Drosophila melanogaster: one gene and its partners. The protein of the gene in region 1 interacts with the protein of each later gene in a biochemical or structural test. Each region holds a gene or a part of one and is shown on either strand. Other genes may lie near its edges.

Region 1 (4,998 bases):
AGATACATATTGATGACGAGCAGGCGGAGGCCAAAACCCGAAATGCATTGACTTCTCCACTCCAACGTTGGCCAGGCAATAAGATATTGTACCGCATATCTACGGACTACAGTGAACAGGAGGTAGCCAATGTGCGGACAGCAATGTCAAGTTTTGGCGAGCAAACCTGTGTGCAGTTCGAAGAGATCGAAGGAGCTCCGCCCGCAGGCAAACGATATGTGTCCTTCAAGAAGTCGCCCAATATGTGTGGCACTCGAGTGGGCTATCAACCTCTGTCCTTTGGTCCGCACGAAGTTGTCCTTAACGAGAAATGCCTCACTATGCCGGCTGTAATTCAACACGAAACCCTTCACCTGCTGGGCCTTTTCCACGAGCAGAGTCGTCCCGATCGCGATGAGTACGTGCAAATCGACTACGACAATATCCCGAGGAAATACTGGTCGCAGTTCATGGCCATGGATCAGACAACCACCTTCAATGTTCCATACGATTACGAGAGCGTTATGCACTATTCGAAGAACGCCTTCGCCAAGGATCCCTCAAAGCCAACAATTCGTGCCCTAATCGGTGGTAAGGCTGTGGAGAGGGAAATGGGTCAGGTGCGAGGACCTTCCGAAGGGGATTGGACCAAAATTCGTTTGATGTACAAGTGCTAGAGTGGAGGAAGAATTCTGCGAGGACTAGGATTGGTTAATAAATATGTTGCGTTCTAAAGTGGATGTGTTTAAATGGAATGGTTTAATATGCAAACTTTCAGACCGATTGCATGGTTTTTCAATCTTTTATGGCTTTTCATTTAAGTCTATCACTAAGTCATTTAAGCCCCACCCACCCGAAAAGTGCTACCCGTTTAATGCTACCCAATCATTCAGTGTCCGTTAACTGGAAAAACGTTTTTCCAGCCTCTTGAAAATGGGTAGCCCCGCTCGAACATAAAGGAAATCCAAATCCAAGCCCAAGGCGAATGCATTTGATTTCACAGAAGTGCAAGTGTAAGTGTCAGTTAACTTTGAAGCAGACTAAGGAGCAGTTGGGGAAGAAAGCGGGGCTTCTCAATGCTGAATGGGGTCTGCCGTGGATTGGGCATGAGTCCAAACGACTGGGCAGCAAACAATCCGAATCCCTGGCACTTAATGTGCACTAAGTGCTTAAGAAGGCCGAGTGTCTGGAGCTGCCTATTAGAAGTCTCTCACTCCCCTGGCCAGTAACCACCCACTTTGGATCAGGATACCATTTCATGGATAGCAATTGCGGAATTTAAATAACCTTTTTAAATCCCTGACAGCTTTGCAAAAATCGAATTGTACGAGTTAAAGAATCAACCAAGCAAGAAGAAATTTTCATCTGCTTAAATTTAAAGAATATATCTTTGCTATAAAGAATCCAATTATTTTGACATGAATTATCTTATATGCCCAGATAGAAATAATATTTACTGAAATGTGACGAATATTATTTAATAGCTTTGACCTTTAAAGAAAACTGTCAGAAAACAAACCAATAAAAGCTAATAAATGTGCCGCATGGTAGTAAGAGAGTATTCCTGTATCTCCACTAATAATTTAGCAACAACATACAACGAATGTGTAAATGTTTGCTTAAAGGAGAATATAAATAACAAACAAAAGAATAAACGCTGTAGTTTACCCTTTTGAGTGGTACAAAATAGCACTATTGGCAAGTGTTGAGTTCTGCAAAGCGGGGCAAAGAGTTGTGGCTTCGTAAGGATGCCAACAGATGGCCATTAAATGCTTGCCTTAAGAGAGCCGGATATCAAAGAGACTCCACATGTTTCGGGAAGTTCGAAAGTGCCATCGGTGAGAGTGAAGACCGACTGGAAGTGAGCTGGCAGGATGAATACATTTTGGCCCACTGTTCTAGGCGGAAAAGCTCGCTCTCTCGCCGAAAAAGGGGAAGAGGAAAATGGGAGCTTTGGCTGGTCGCCTGGCTTTTCAAGCCGACGCCGTTCGTGTGGCTTTCAGTGTATTCAGTGCAGTCGTATCGTTCGGTTCGTTCTCACGGTGAAAAGCGGTGGAAGGTCCTGTTCGGAGGACAACCTCAATACGCCACTCACACACGCACAAGTGGGCTTACTCACACGGACACGGGTGCGCTAGTCGAAAGTAAAAGTTGTCCAGTGTGCCATAAAGGTAAATAATAAATGAGCCAATGTGAAATATACGCACGCAATGTGAAAGCAACGAAATATATGAAGAAATCTACGGAAAAATGAAAATCTAGACCTGCGTGCCAGTGTGCAAAATCAAGTATGCAACACTTAAGTGAAACGAATATCCCAAAATAAAGTGTGCAAGAGTGCCAGCGATCCTTGAATATTCGAGTACCAAACTAAAATACTAAGCCAGACTAAAACTAAAAACCGAACCTGCCCCAACTGATCCTTCACCTCAATTCTTACCTATCAAGGCCACACGGCGGCTGTGGCATATTAACGTTGCACTCGTTGCACGTTGCACATACAGCCAACTCACACAAAAAATGTTATTCATCTTCGCGTGCTGTTTTGTTTTTTAAGACCGCCAAGGTCGTCCAGGAATACGTATATCTCTTAACGCGGTCCGAGAATTTTAGAAATAATTATAAGAAATACTTTGGGGTTTCCTTTTAAAATTTCTCGGAAAATGTTGCGATTTTCCCTCGTCTGAACTTTTGCTTTTTAACTTTTTTCTTTCGCCTTCCCTTTGGGGCTCATAAATTAGGGTCGCATTCCGCTTAACCGGGAATATTTGCATAAAATGGGAAAAAGGGCGAGAAATGGTTTAAATACGGGAATCACACGGCTGAGATATTCAACACATGAAAAAAAGGGGGCATATAAAATGAGTTCACAGGCCTTGATGGGTTGAGATAAAGCAAACATTAAAGTCCCTTTATTTAGATGATAAAAAATTGAAAAACAAAAGTGAAAATTAGCACTGCGAAAATTCCAAGGTTCATAAAGATTCGGTACCGAAACTTTTGAGTTTTATCAAAAACCCAAACATCGAAAAATTTGCAACAAAACAGGATCAAAGGACAACAGCAGCGCAGCAAAGGTGAGCCCTTTTAATTTTATTGAGCCAATTATCCAATAATTTCATTAACTAGTTAACACCAATAATCATGTATTTCCTTACAAAAAAAAAAAAAAAACAAAAACACATATCAACCAATGTGTCATTGTTTGAGTTTGGGTGGTGCGTTGGTTTTCCCAGTGGCGGAAAAGCCAAGCCAACGGGTGGTACGGTTACATTTTTATTTATTGTGATATTTTTTTTCGCTGTTTCTCTTTGCTGTGGTTAGAAGTTGTTCAGGAAAAAATGTTGCCGGTGGGAGGAGCTTGGATTGTTAGCTCAATTTAATTATGAAAATGCCAAGAATTTCTCTGGGCACACACGTGCCTAAACATACAGGTGGGTGGTATTCCAATCAACTTATTTTATTAAATGTTGTGGGGGAAGGACACCAAATTTATGCTCCTAAAAGCTTATATTAAGACTCACTGATGGAAAGGTGTTATAAATAATAATGACTATTTTTAATTAATATACAAACGGAATATTATAAGTGTTATAAGTATTTGAGAGCTACTTGTTGGTTAATTAAAATTTTATCAGGCAACTGAACATAAACCTGATTCAGTTACTACGAACTGAAATTTTGTTCTTCGGAAACATACTAATAAGCCTATTTAAACTCTTTTAAGTTCTTGAAATTAATTAGCTAATGATCCATTATTTATAATGAAACATTATTGCTAAGAACCATAAATTCGCGATGGGTAAGGCTTACATTTAAATAGGTCACGTGAAATGCCTTCGTTTTCAGTTTTACTAAGAGTCGTAGCTTTCCACTCATGTGGCACATATTTCTGTGGCATCCACCACAAATTTCCATTACTGAGATTGCCTTAGAAAATATGCTTAGATGCTACACCTTTGACCACTTTCCCAACACCATTACCTGTGAGCTCAGGGAAAAGGTAACTAAGACTTTCCGCCCGACAAGATTGCCATTTTATGCTAGACATTTTCTAAGAAAATAAAACAACATTTTATTTACACGCTGCTTCAGCAAGGTCACTTATTATGGAACTTTGCGCGTCAGAAAGTTGCCCAAATACATAAATTATTTTTATTGTACTTAACCTTTTTTTTTTTTGCCTTGACTTTCCCTATTCATTGTCTGGCCCAAATCAGCTTAAGTCACACAGAAAAGAAATTCATAAGCTTGCTTTAAGATGCGAGTAACCGAAAGATACAAATAAGTGAAGTAGGCCGAACAGAAAATAGGCTTTAAAAGCTGTTTGGTTACTCTATAAAATATTTCGGTTGAGCTTATAGAATTTCAGAACGACATTAATAACCCTTCTTTCGTTAGAAAAAAAAGGGTTATAATATTGAGCCAAATTATAAGCAAAAAATTGTATTTTATGTGCATGGTTTCCTACAATTCATCGAATTGGATTGATACAAAAAGTAACTGTAGCTGATTAAACTTGCTTATGACTCTATGACCTGAATATATTTTCCCATTTAATCAGCTTACAATTGTTGCAATATTTTTTTAAATGGCACAATAAAGTTGAAAATGCAATGGAAGTGCAACACAAAACGCGTCCATTATATTTGTTTTGGCATTGACATATTTACTTGATTTAAATTTTTATGAATACCCTTTTGTTTACTTGTGAAACTCTTTGAGCGTACAATTTTGAATGAATGAAATATTATGCAAATGTTTGATAAATAGCAGGAAATCAAAAGCAAACAAAAGGAGAAAATTGTTAAGCAAAAATATAATTGATGGCAATCGCACACAATTGCAGCCGAGCGAAGACATAATTAAAAGAAATATATATGTATATGTATATATGCGTACGTATGGGTGTATTAATCAAACATAATTACTCTGGTCATGCATATTTGATTAATCGGTTAAAAGGAAGGTCCTGTGGTCGTGTTCCACTTTTGTTTGACCTGACAGCTGTCGCTTTAA
Region 2 (4,971 bases), on another chromosome or scaffold:
GTGGCGCCTTTTAATGTGACCAGATCGGGGGAAGTGGAAGTAGGGCGGTCGCAAAATAATGGTACTACAAAATGGTAAGATTAGTTTTATCGATTCTCTGATATGCTGATGCCTCATTATGCCTAAAGTGCCTGCCATATGTTCGTAAAAGGGTCAAAGGTTAAGCACTTGCTCGAGTTTGGACCCCCAAGCAACTTTAGCTTACCGCAAACCACAAATCGCCGTTTAAATATTAATACATCAATCCACTTAATATGCGAGTTTATGCCATCGAATGATGTAATAAATATAAAAGAAGGAGCCGCAGACACTCGGATAAAGATGATGCCCATATGCGGATGCCGTAAATCCTTCCTCGGCTCCATCTGCAATGTCTGTGGGAATGGAAGTCTCTCATCCACTACACTTTATGATGAGTTTTCCCCGGTTGGCTGATGGATTCACAAGTACACACATACTGTAAAGGGACCACAAAGAGCATCTCCATTAAAGTTACAGTCAGACTTCAATGGATTTCATATTTTTTGGGCTTTCCATTCTGGTTCTTTGACTTTTTCATTTATTGCAGCTGGCAAAAGTCAACCGCAATATGCCAGTAAAGCAAACAAGATTGTAATATGCCGAAAACAAAACAAATTCCTGGTATAAGAGCGCACTTCCTGAAATCCAACTTAGCCTTAGCAAGGCTGGCCTTCACTGCGGTGGTCCTGGCATAAAGGAAGTGGGCTCCTTGTTTACTTGAGAACTTATAAAGAAAACATCAACTTGGATTTCCGACACAACTGTGGAGAAGGGAATGGGTACAACAATACCGGGAAAGCAACTACTTCAACAGCATTCTAACCGTCGGAACCAGCGGATATGAAAGCAAAATTTTGCATTAAAACTTAAGAAATCATTGGGCCTTCCTCGTAAGAGGTCCCGAGATAAGAAGGCAAAATAGAATATTTCCCTTGGCTAAAGATTGCGTAAGGTTCTGCCACCATGGTCATTGCGTATTTGTGGGTTCGCTTGTGCGTTATGATTGCACGAGCAAAACCAAATGCAAATTCAGATTCTGTTGTGATGGGCAAAAGGGCGTCCACGAGTTTAGTAACAGTCTTTATCATTATTTGGTAACATAATGTACTAGTCTCTTTAAGTTTCACAGCATAACACAAGTGGTTTGCAGTCCACTGAAAAGAATGTTTCTTTACATACACTTTCATATTTGCTGTTATAAGGAAAGAGTAATTAAATATTTGCAATATGTGTAATACTTTATATAAATTCCCACAACCAAGTGTTATACCCGTATTTTTATGGGTAACAACTTTGCTACCACTTTAAATTTCTTACTTATATTTTATTCCTTTTCTAATCACCTGCTTTACCCATGTTTACCTTTGCCCGGCTAAAAGCGAACCCAATCCCCACATAAATACCCATTCAAGTTCAAGTCAACCCTTAAGGAGGCCTAAAACCGCAGCGTAAACCAAACGAGGGAACAGCATTTGCCGGTTCGCTCGTTGGATTTAATTTTGGCTTACACATTCTTGGCCAATGAGATTTATGCGTTGCTTGCGAGTTGTTGTAACTGCTGTTGTACTTCTTCCGCTCTTTTCACCCACATTTTTGTCCCACAACAGCCCAAGTTGGGGGATATACTGATATAAAAAAAAGGGCGCAAAATGTTGTTTTGATTTGGCTTCCGTTTTCTCCTTGAATTTCTTTCTCAGCAAAAGCCGAGCACGTGTTTCGTTCGAAAAACAACGACGCTTGCGCTGAAAACGTTTTCGAAACTGAACGAAACTTTGGCCGTACTCATACACGAAGTCCAAAGCGAGTGAATACGAATGGAAAACTTCGGTTTTCGGATACCCGAAGCCTTTTTTCCTGCTTTTGCCAATGAAGCGAACCATTGAGCGGCACGATTTGAATTCAGTTTGACTCGAACCTGCTCCGGAAGTAGAAGTCAGCCCGCGAGTTTCCATCGCAAGGGAAAATTCTCAATAAAACACAACAAATTAATCATCTTTTAATCACAGTTAAAAACGAGTTAATTGCAAATTACTCGCTCGTAAAAAGTGCTCATACCTAAACATACAAAGTAAACCACCAAGTGTGTAACAATTAAAATAAATCTTGTGTTAGTGCGGTTGGCCATAAAAATAATTCGTGTCGCAACAGCAGGCGACAATAAATTTTGCGGTTGGATCGTTAAAATTTCGCTTTACCTGAATGCAACTGAAGCCGGAAAATAGCAAATGAGAACGCGGAGTTTTCCCTACCATTAACTTTTTTTTGCAGCAATTTGAATTCGGGGGAAAATTCATTAAAAATACAGCTGAAGCTCAAGACGAGAGACGCTTGCTCACTCAGCCCTGTGCCACATAAATTTCACGGCAATCAGCCGGCGCTGCAAGTCATCCAAACTTCATTTGTTGCTACTTGGGCTCAGGGCTCTCGGTTCTGCTTGGTTCTGTTTTTCCGTTTTTGCTCCTGCAGGATCTGGATCCTGCCCCATGGCTCCTGCAGCTGAAATATTGCTTCCATTATTTATGTTAAGTTTATGCAACATTCTCCCTGCTGCTGCTCCCACCAGCACAAGTCCTGCTGCAGCACAAGTCCTTCCTCTCTTGTTTTTAATATCCTTCAGCTTGTAAAGGAATTACTCCTCAAGCCGGCAACTAAGAGCAAACTCAAGTCTCACGGCATTCGGCTCCTGGTTATCCACCATTTTTATAGTCTGCCTTTATTTTTGGTTCGTCTATTTCCATCATTTGCCTCGTTATTCAAACATCATCATCTTTCTGGTTCAGTGCACTGGGCTCGGGAAAAGTGCGGATAACAAGGAGCGCCATGTTATTGCCATCGAGTGCATTAATAAATCAATTGTTTTTTGCATCTCAAAGAGCTCGCTTTGCTCCAGAGATTGACAGGTCGGAAATCTGAAATGTAATCGCTGCCAGACGAAGCAATTTGCCAAGAAATGAACTCTAATTGGGTTCACTTGGAAAGTTATAAAGGAAAACGGATAAAGGCGGTGAAGAGCTCATAAATTTGCTTGTTAAACACTTGAATACATTAAAGCCCTTGAATCAGACGATCGCAAAAGGTGCGTGGAACAGAACTGTCAGTTGAAGTTGACTTTGAACTTTTAAAACTTTTGAAGAATTCAGTAAAAATCAGCAATATCCGAATATTAATTTAAATGTACAATATAATGCCTCAAGCTAATTTAAAAGTTGGAAAAATTTTAAATGAGCCAAATGCTTTCAACTCAAAAGGCAATCTTAAAATTCGCGGAAACTAACCATAAGCTATTTAGTTACCCAAATGGACCACAGGAAAATGTGTGCTTCTATGTTTTCGCCTCAAGCTCATTAACTGCTCGGAGCTCTCCCTACTAGATTGTTATTTTTCCCTCAGCTCACACAGAAAGGATAATAGGGGGAAAACAGGAACATTTACTAATTAGCACTCCCAGGCTGCACACAATGAATGTAAAATTATCAAATCGTTTTCTGCGCATTTTTTTTTTATTTTTGTTTAGTTTGTTTGTGGTATTAAAAAGGAAATAAAGGAAAAGATTCCTTGGTAGCAAATGTTGTGGGTGGACGAAGTGAAGTATTCATGGCAGCGAAACGAAAACGAATTTCAATGCATTTTTCAGCTGCACTCTATGACATTTTTAAGCGTGCACTTACAAAAATTATTAAAAATATGTTTTTGATAAGAACTTGCCAGAAGATTTTTGCAATTGAAAGCGAAAATATAGTTAAAACCCAAATTAAAGAACTTCAAATTGTTAAATTTAAGAGACATACTTTTTGAAAATTATTTTAAAATATAAATTAATTTTTATTTTATTTTAAATATTTTTTGAATGCCAATTTGGCGGTGTAGTGTATCCACATTCAGGCATCTGCAAACAATTCCATGTGCGCTGGCTGTCAGATCTGCAGGAATTGCTCAGCTGCCTGGCCGACGATTCTCCTGTCGCGGAAAGAGACAGCCTGAATGGGCAGAAAGAGACGGACTAAAGGAGATGACAGCCATGAATGGCATTTCTTCTGCTACCTCCGAGCATAATTTACATTGTATTTCAACTTGAGTGTGCAGTTGAGGCTGTCTTTTATGGTTTGTCTTGGCTCGCTTCGGGCTTTTCGTTTGGATTTTTCCCGCTTTCAGCTTTTATACAGTTCTCTTTGGCGAACGAAAAGTTTCACTTGTCACAGGCTATGGAATTTGCCGAGTAAAAGGCTTTCTTCGCGTTACGCGAGCGGAAACCTTGGTTAGCTACAATTTATACATGTCGAGCTTGTTAAGTTGTGATTGCGCTCTGGCCTAAAAGTGGACTTCTGGCTACGTACTGATTGCATCATAATTACCCAACTGCCTCCGTCCCTGATTTTTGCCCCTAAGTGCTTTTTAACGAGCTCTCTTCGGTTTTGGCTGCTGCTGCTGCTGCTGCTTTTGCTGTTTGTTGTCCGTTTGAAAAAGGTCCGGAAATAGGAGGGCAAAAAATTTCAAACATTTGTTTTACCCCCCGACACAAATGATTTTCTGTCGTAATTTTCCACCAGTGAAACCAGTCATGGTCATTTCCCTTTCAGCCGCTTTTCGAACTCTGTCGTTATAATCTGCTACATGGACCCCATAATTTGTAATTTCAACCTAATTACTTCAAGCCCAGCCGAACGGGGATCGGACCAGCTAAACAATGTTGTCCGTAATAAAATGTCAAAAACCAAAGCAAAACGCCCATTTCGTCTGATTTACACACACACATGAAGACCAGAAGGACACGCCCCCTCACACGCACAGTGCGTATGATTTCGGTTTTTGTGTCCTTTGCTGGTGACATATGTTAATGATCTGGCAGCGATTTCTGGGTCATTTAAATTGATTTTTACGCTTGTCTGTTTATTTTTGTTATTTAATTAAAATGGAAGTGGAAGCAAGTGTGTAATTATTATAATAATAATT
Region 3 (4,712 bases), on another chromosome or scaffold:
CGTTGCCTTCACTTCCAGTATCTGTACTTAGTGCCACAGAGGAGGCAATCAGGCAACCAAGGCCCACATACAGAAACGAAGAAATCGCTTCGAGGTGGTATGCCATTTTGCTGTAAGTTTGATGCCCCTTTTTTTTACCGTTGTTTAGCTTTTCAATTAAGAAAACTTAATTATTTATTGCGTACAAATATTGTGCAGCATTACAGTATATTCCGGCTCATGTTGTGTTTGCTTTTGGAATCGATCAACGTTTAATTGCGATTGGCTTTTATGCACGCTACCCCTGAAATATGAGGAGAAATTATAGGTTGCCATTATTGATGAAAATATTAATAAAAAAAAGAAATTATACATGGCTTCATGCTTTTAGGCTTAAGTGTACATTTAATTTGTCATTGCTCAATTTTCCATTTACCGCAAGGAATGAGACCTGTTTTCGTGTTACACGGCTATCCCATACCCTTTACACGGCTTATTGATTACAACCGTACTTAATCATATCTTATAAACTTTAATCTAAGCTTTCAAATTTATAATAGTTGAAGAGATTTTGTATATCATACATACGGACAGACGAGCGGACACACCATTTTTTATGCTTAAGATTTTTATGAGCCATTTTAACCAGACCCACACCTGGCTTGCATCTTTTTCACGGATTAAGGAGTTTTCAATAAAGAGGATCAGCATTAGGAAGATATCAGAGCAGTGACGAACCCTAAGTCTCCGAACGACCTCAAATCCGTTCAAATGCCAGGGACAACGTTATCGTCACCATCAGAATTATCAGCTTCCTTTTCGTGGTTGTTTTGCTGCATGCATGCATAGAAGAATTTTTTCCTTGTTTTTAATTCCTGCTCGTGTCATAAGCGAAAAGCAATTTGCTCTGTCAGCTGTTGTTTTACACTCCGGCTACGGCAGTCAAGTAAACCCATGGAGGTCCTTCCAGTCTCGTCAATTTCTTCATTCTATTGCAATATGAATGCATTTCAATTAGAATGCCTCCTTGGGGACAGCTGTTGTGGATTTTCCATTAAGTAAGGGTTATTGAAACCGAATTGCAAACTTAATTGATTTCTAAGCCGGCCGACTTAACATTCATTTTGGTTGTGATATCTAAACAAAGATTTTGAACGTTATGCTGAGGAAGATTTTAGTGAACCATTGACATCTTATAAGATTCAATTTTGTTTCTTATAAAATGTGTTTTTTAGATTTAAGCGTTAATGACCCAAAGTTCACCTGATTGATAAGCAACCAACTGATGGTCAAAAATATATGTATTATTGTATGAATGACATAAATACGTGATAGTTTGGTACACCAAAATGTATTGTCTGGTGTATTTTCACGCGACGACGATTGTTGCATCCATAGAACTAACCGCGAAATGTAAATGGACCGTGAATTCGTAATGCATTTAAATCATTGTAAACAGCAATGTTTGTGCCCCGCAGACAGAAAGGATATTTCCCACATCTTCGAAGTGATGTAGCCGCATGATGAAAAGGAGCCAGCGGTGAATGCTCCGCCGGTCTGACTTCTGCTCTGTCTTTCCGTCTCCTAGGGAGCATTTACTCGCTTTTGCATAATAAATCAATTTACATTTCCTTTCACACGCAAAAATGAATAACGAATAATAGCAACAAGCCCGTGGCGCAGAAATCTTCTATCGTATTCTTCGGGTAAAAGTACGTATAGCATGAGAAAGGAGTGCTTCCTTTCTGCACTATAATCACACCGAACCGAATCAATCAATCAAAATGAAATTAATTATTTAATTATAATTATTATTTCTTTTCTTTTCCACAGCACAGGGAATTCAACCAAGTGCTTGTGTCACCCAAAGGATTCGATCTTTAGAGCTAACTTTTTAATGACGATTGTGTTTATTTATTACTGAAGTGAACATAAAACTTCAATTTCACACTAACCGCAAACAGCGCATCGTAAATTCGTATTACCTCTTAAAACGATTTCATTCCACGGTATATTAATCTTTTCGATCGGACAATCATTGCAGATTTCTGCACGTTTGTTTACATATATAGTAGCCGGCTTTTGCACTTCGGTGCACATTGCCACCACGTAGACGGCCGTCAGGAAGATATATAAATATCTGAGTCAGACTGTGCCGCGGGAACTGGAAACGCACAATTTAAGTTGGAAATAAAGACAGAGGATGGTTTAATTTAAACAAGTAGATATTGGTCTTTACGAGGATGCCATTGGCCATGTAAATAATAATAATAATTTGCTACGCATTTAGTACTTAGTTTCATAAATGAAACAAAAAGAAAATTAAATTTGAAGTTAGATTTGCATACAATTCGCATTATTTTGAAAGCCGGCTAATGAAACATTCAAAGTGCAATCAATTGCCTGCACAGCTTCTCCCAGCAGATGTAAACCAATTCGGAAGGATCCTTTGTAAAAGATGCAGCTCCCTAAACAGGCCATCCTGCGAACTCACTATTCAATGATGCCCCATCTGCAACTTCGTTCTCCTCCATCCGATGTCGCCCTGCTTCCAGAAACTAATAACTCACCGTGGCAATGTCTGGCTGCTGGATGGGGCGTCAGATGTCGGCAGGAATCAGCAAATCAATTTATAAATAGAGCAGCGAGACAACATAACAACGGATTTTCATGTTTCCCTCTGCCGTTCTCCGTTTTTGCAACATAACTAAATTAGGGGACCACGCGGCAGACACACAGACGCCGTCACAAAGCCAGCAGCTCCTCCGGTGGGCAGCGGAGGTGCATAAATGGCATGGGATATCGAATAAAAGCACTCACAGCAGTTGATTTACAACAACCATTCGCCGCCACTAATGCCAATCGAAAATACTATTTTAAACTATTTGGCCAGTGCAAATAAGAAAGACCACGTCCACGCACGTCTAACGAAACCGATTCTGGTTCTGATACCGTTACCGATTCGGGTTCGGGATTCAAAAGCGATTGCGACTGCGACTGCGAATACTGATGCGGATGCGGTACCGCAGACTAACGACAACCGAACGAAACGACAGCCGATTTCACACTGGCAGCAGCATCCCGTCGTGCGATTCACTTCGGCTGCGGCATGTTAAAAAGATAAACAAATGTTGCGGTTGGCCGTGATTTATGTTAGCTTACATATGTTTATAGCCCTGGCTGCAGAGCCAAACAGCACTTTCTGCTACTAACAGCCCCGAAAACAGCGAACAATCAATCCAACGATCCGCCGAGTGTTTTAATGCACCACTCCACTATCCGTTCCGTCAGCTAATGCGGCGGGTTAAATTTTATGTTCATCATGTGAGAGAAAAAATGTGAGAAAAGCCAAAGGTCGCAGAATTTCCAGTATTAGTATGTGCATATGTGAGCTAAATAAAGAAACGTATTATTTCTTTCTGAACATAATAGAGCAGGGCGTATCACTTGTGTAAGCATTTTTGAGTTATCCCTCAAAACTCCCTCATCTGTCTTACAGTGAAAACATGTTTTTCATCTTCGCTAATCATTGAACATTTGTTACTTGGTCTTTGAGCGGGCATAATGGAATAATAGCTTAGCACTTTAACACATTTACAGCTAGGGACTGCAAACGCATTTCCAAGTTCTGTGACCATAAATGTCAGAGTTCAAAAGGCAAGACTTCTTTAGCTTGCTGTTAACATCGCTATCTTAAGAAGAGGATGCTGCAATACAAACTTCATTAAAGAGAAATTTATAAAAGAACTTGGTTTCTTTGCTCTACATTTCCCTTTATAACCCCTAACAAAGCTCACACAATTTGGTCCTACAAGCCTTAACATTTCCCATTTTACACCCCAAGCAAAGCTTCATCATGTCGGTCCTGCAATACCCTAACATTTCCCGTTATTACCCCTGATAAAGCTACTGCTAGTCGAAAGCGCTCCGTGCCGTGAATTTATTAACTTTGAGCGTCCGTCTAAGCTTTAAGTAGTGACGAAAGCTCCTGTCACAAGACGCTTTGCTCTCCTGTTGACTTTAGCCACTTGACAGCGCAAAACGCGAAAGCCACAACACTCAGTCGAAACAGCTGACTCTCAAAAGGTGGCCACCACCCACCACCCAACTGCTGCAGGGCCAAACAGAAACTCCGTCACTAGGCTTACGGAGCATTTAGCCAAGAAAGCGTGGGGGCGTCACCGTCACTCACTGACGTCGACGCACTCGGCGCATGAAAAACAGTTACGCTCTGTGCCGCGGAGTGTGTGGAGTTGCGTTGAAAGGGGCTCCGGAGTCCAAAAGGGTAATCGGAAAGCCCACGGGAAGGGGCCATCACCGCGGAGCCTTGACCCGAGCGTAATGAAATGTGGCGCCTGGCTGGCGAAAAAGTGACGTGAAATGCCAAGTGCAGCCGCATCGAAGCCAGCAAGGATCTTGTAGCAGCGACAGGAGCAGCCCCTTCTCCATGGGTTCATGCCTTGGCAGCTGTGCCACAGCTGCCGCCGCACCAGCCCACTCCGCCTGCACCTCAACGTCCGACTCCACCACCCACTCGACTTCCTCGACGTCGTCTTCACTGACAACTCCCCCCACGTCCTGGGTGGCCAACAGCTGGCTCTGGTGAGTGGGGCCAATTAGTTGAAGCTCAACTCCGCTGACTTTCGTTCGCGCGCAAATCCGCTGACCAATCAATAGTGGCTAAGCACGGGGTGGAATTGGCTAGTTGGGGGTCAACAGCCTAAAACTATGCA

Evidence for each region. The genes of interacting proteins can lie anywhere in the genome.
Region 2: the proteins of dpr9 (region 1) and DIP-delta form a complex in vitro, tested with the Drosophila melanogaster proteins (one study listed by BioGRID).
Region 3: the proteins of dpr9 (region 1) and DIP-epsilon form a complex in vitro, tested with the Drosophila melanogaster proteins (one study listed by BioGRID).

The regions. Positions count from the first base shown.
Region 1 is NT_033777.3:15,074,188-15,079,185, reverse strand, and holds the start of dpr9 (defective proboscis extension response 9), read left to right. Parts: upstream 1-1,979; 5' UTR 1,980-2,150; intron 2,151-2,899; 5' UTR 2,900-3,056; intron 3,057-4,998. Other genes in the region: CG6974 (uncharacterized protein), read left to right, coding at 1-656.
Region 2 is NT_037436.4:5,422,187-5,427,157, forward strand, and holds the start of DIP-delta (Dpr-interacting protein delta), read left to right. Parts: upstream 1-1,922; 5' UTR 1,923-2,089; intron 2,090-4,971.
Region 3 is NT_033779.5:6,408,278-6,412,989, forward strand, and holds the start of DIP-epsilon (Dpr-interacting protein epsilon), read right to left. Parts: upstream 3,050-4,712; 5' UTR 2,550-3,049; intron 284-2,549; 5' UTR 107-283; coding exon 1-106. Other genes in the region: CG13982 (uncharacterized protein), read left to right, coding at 4,427-4,581.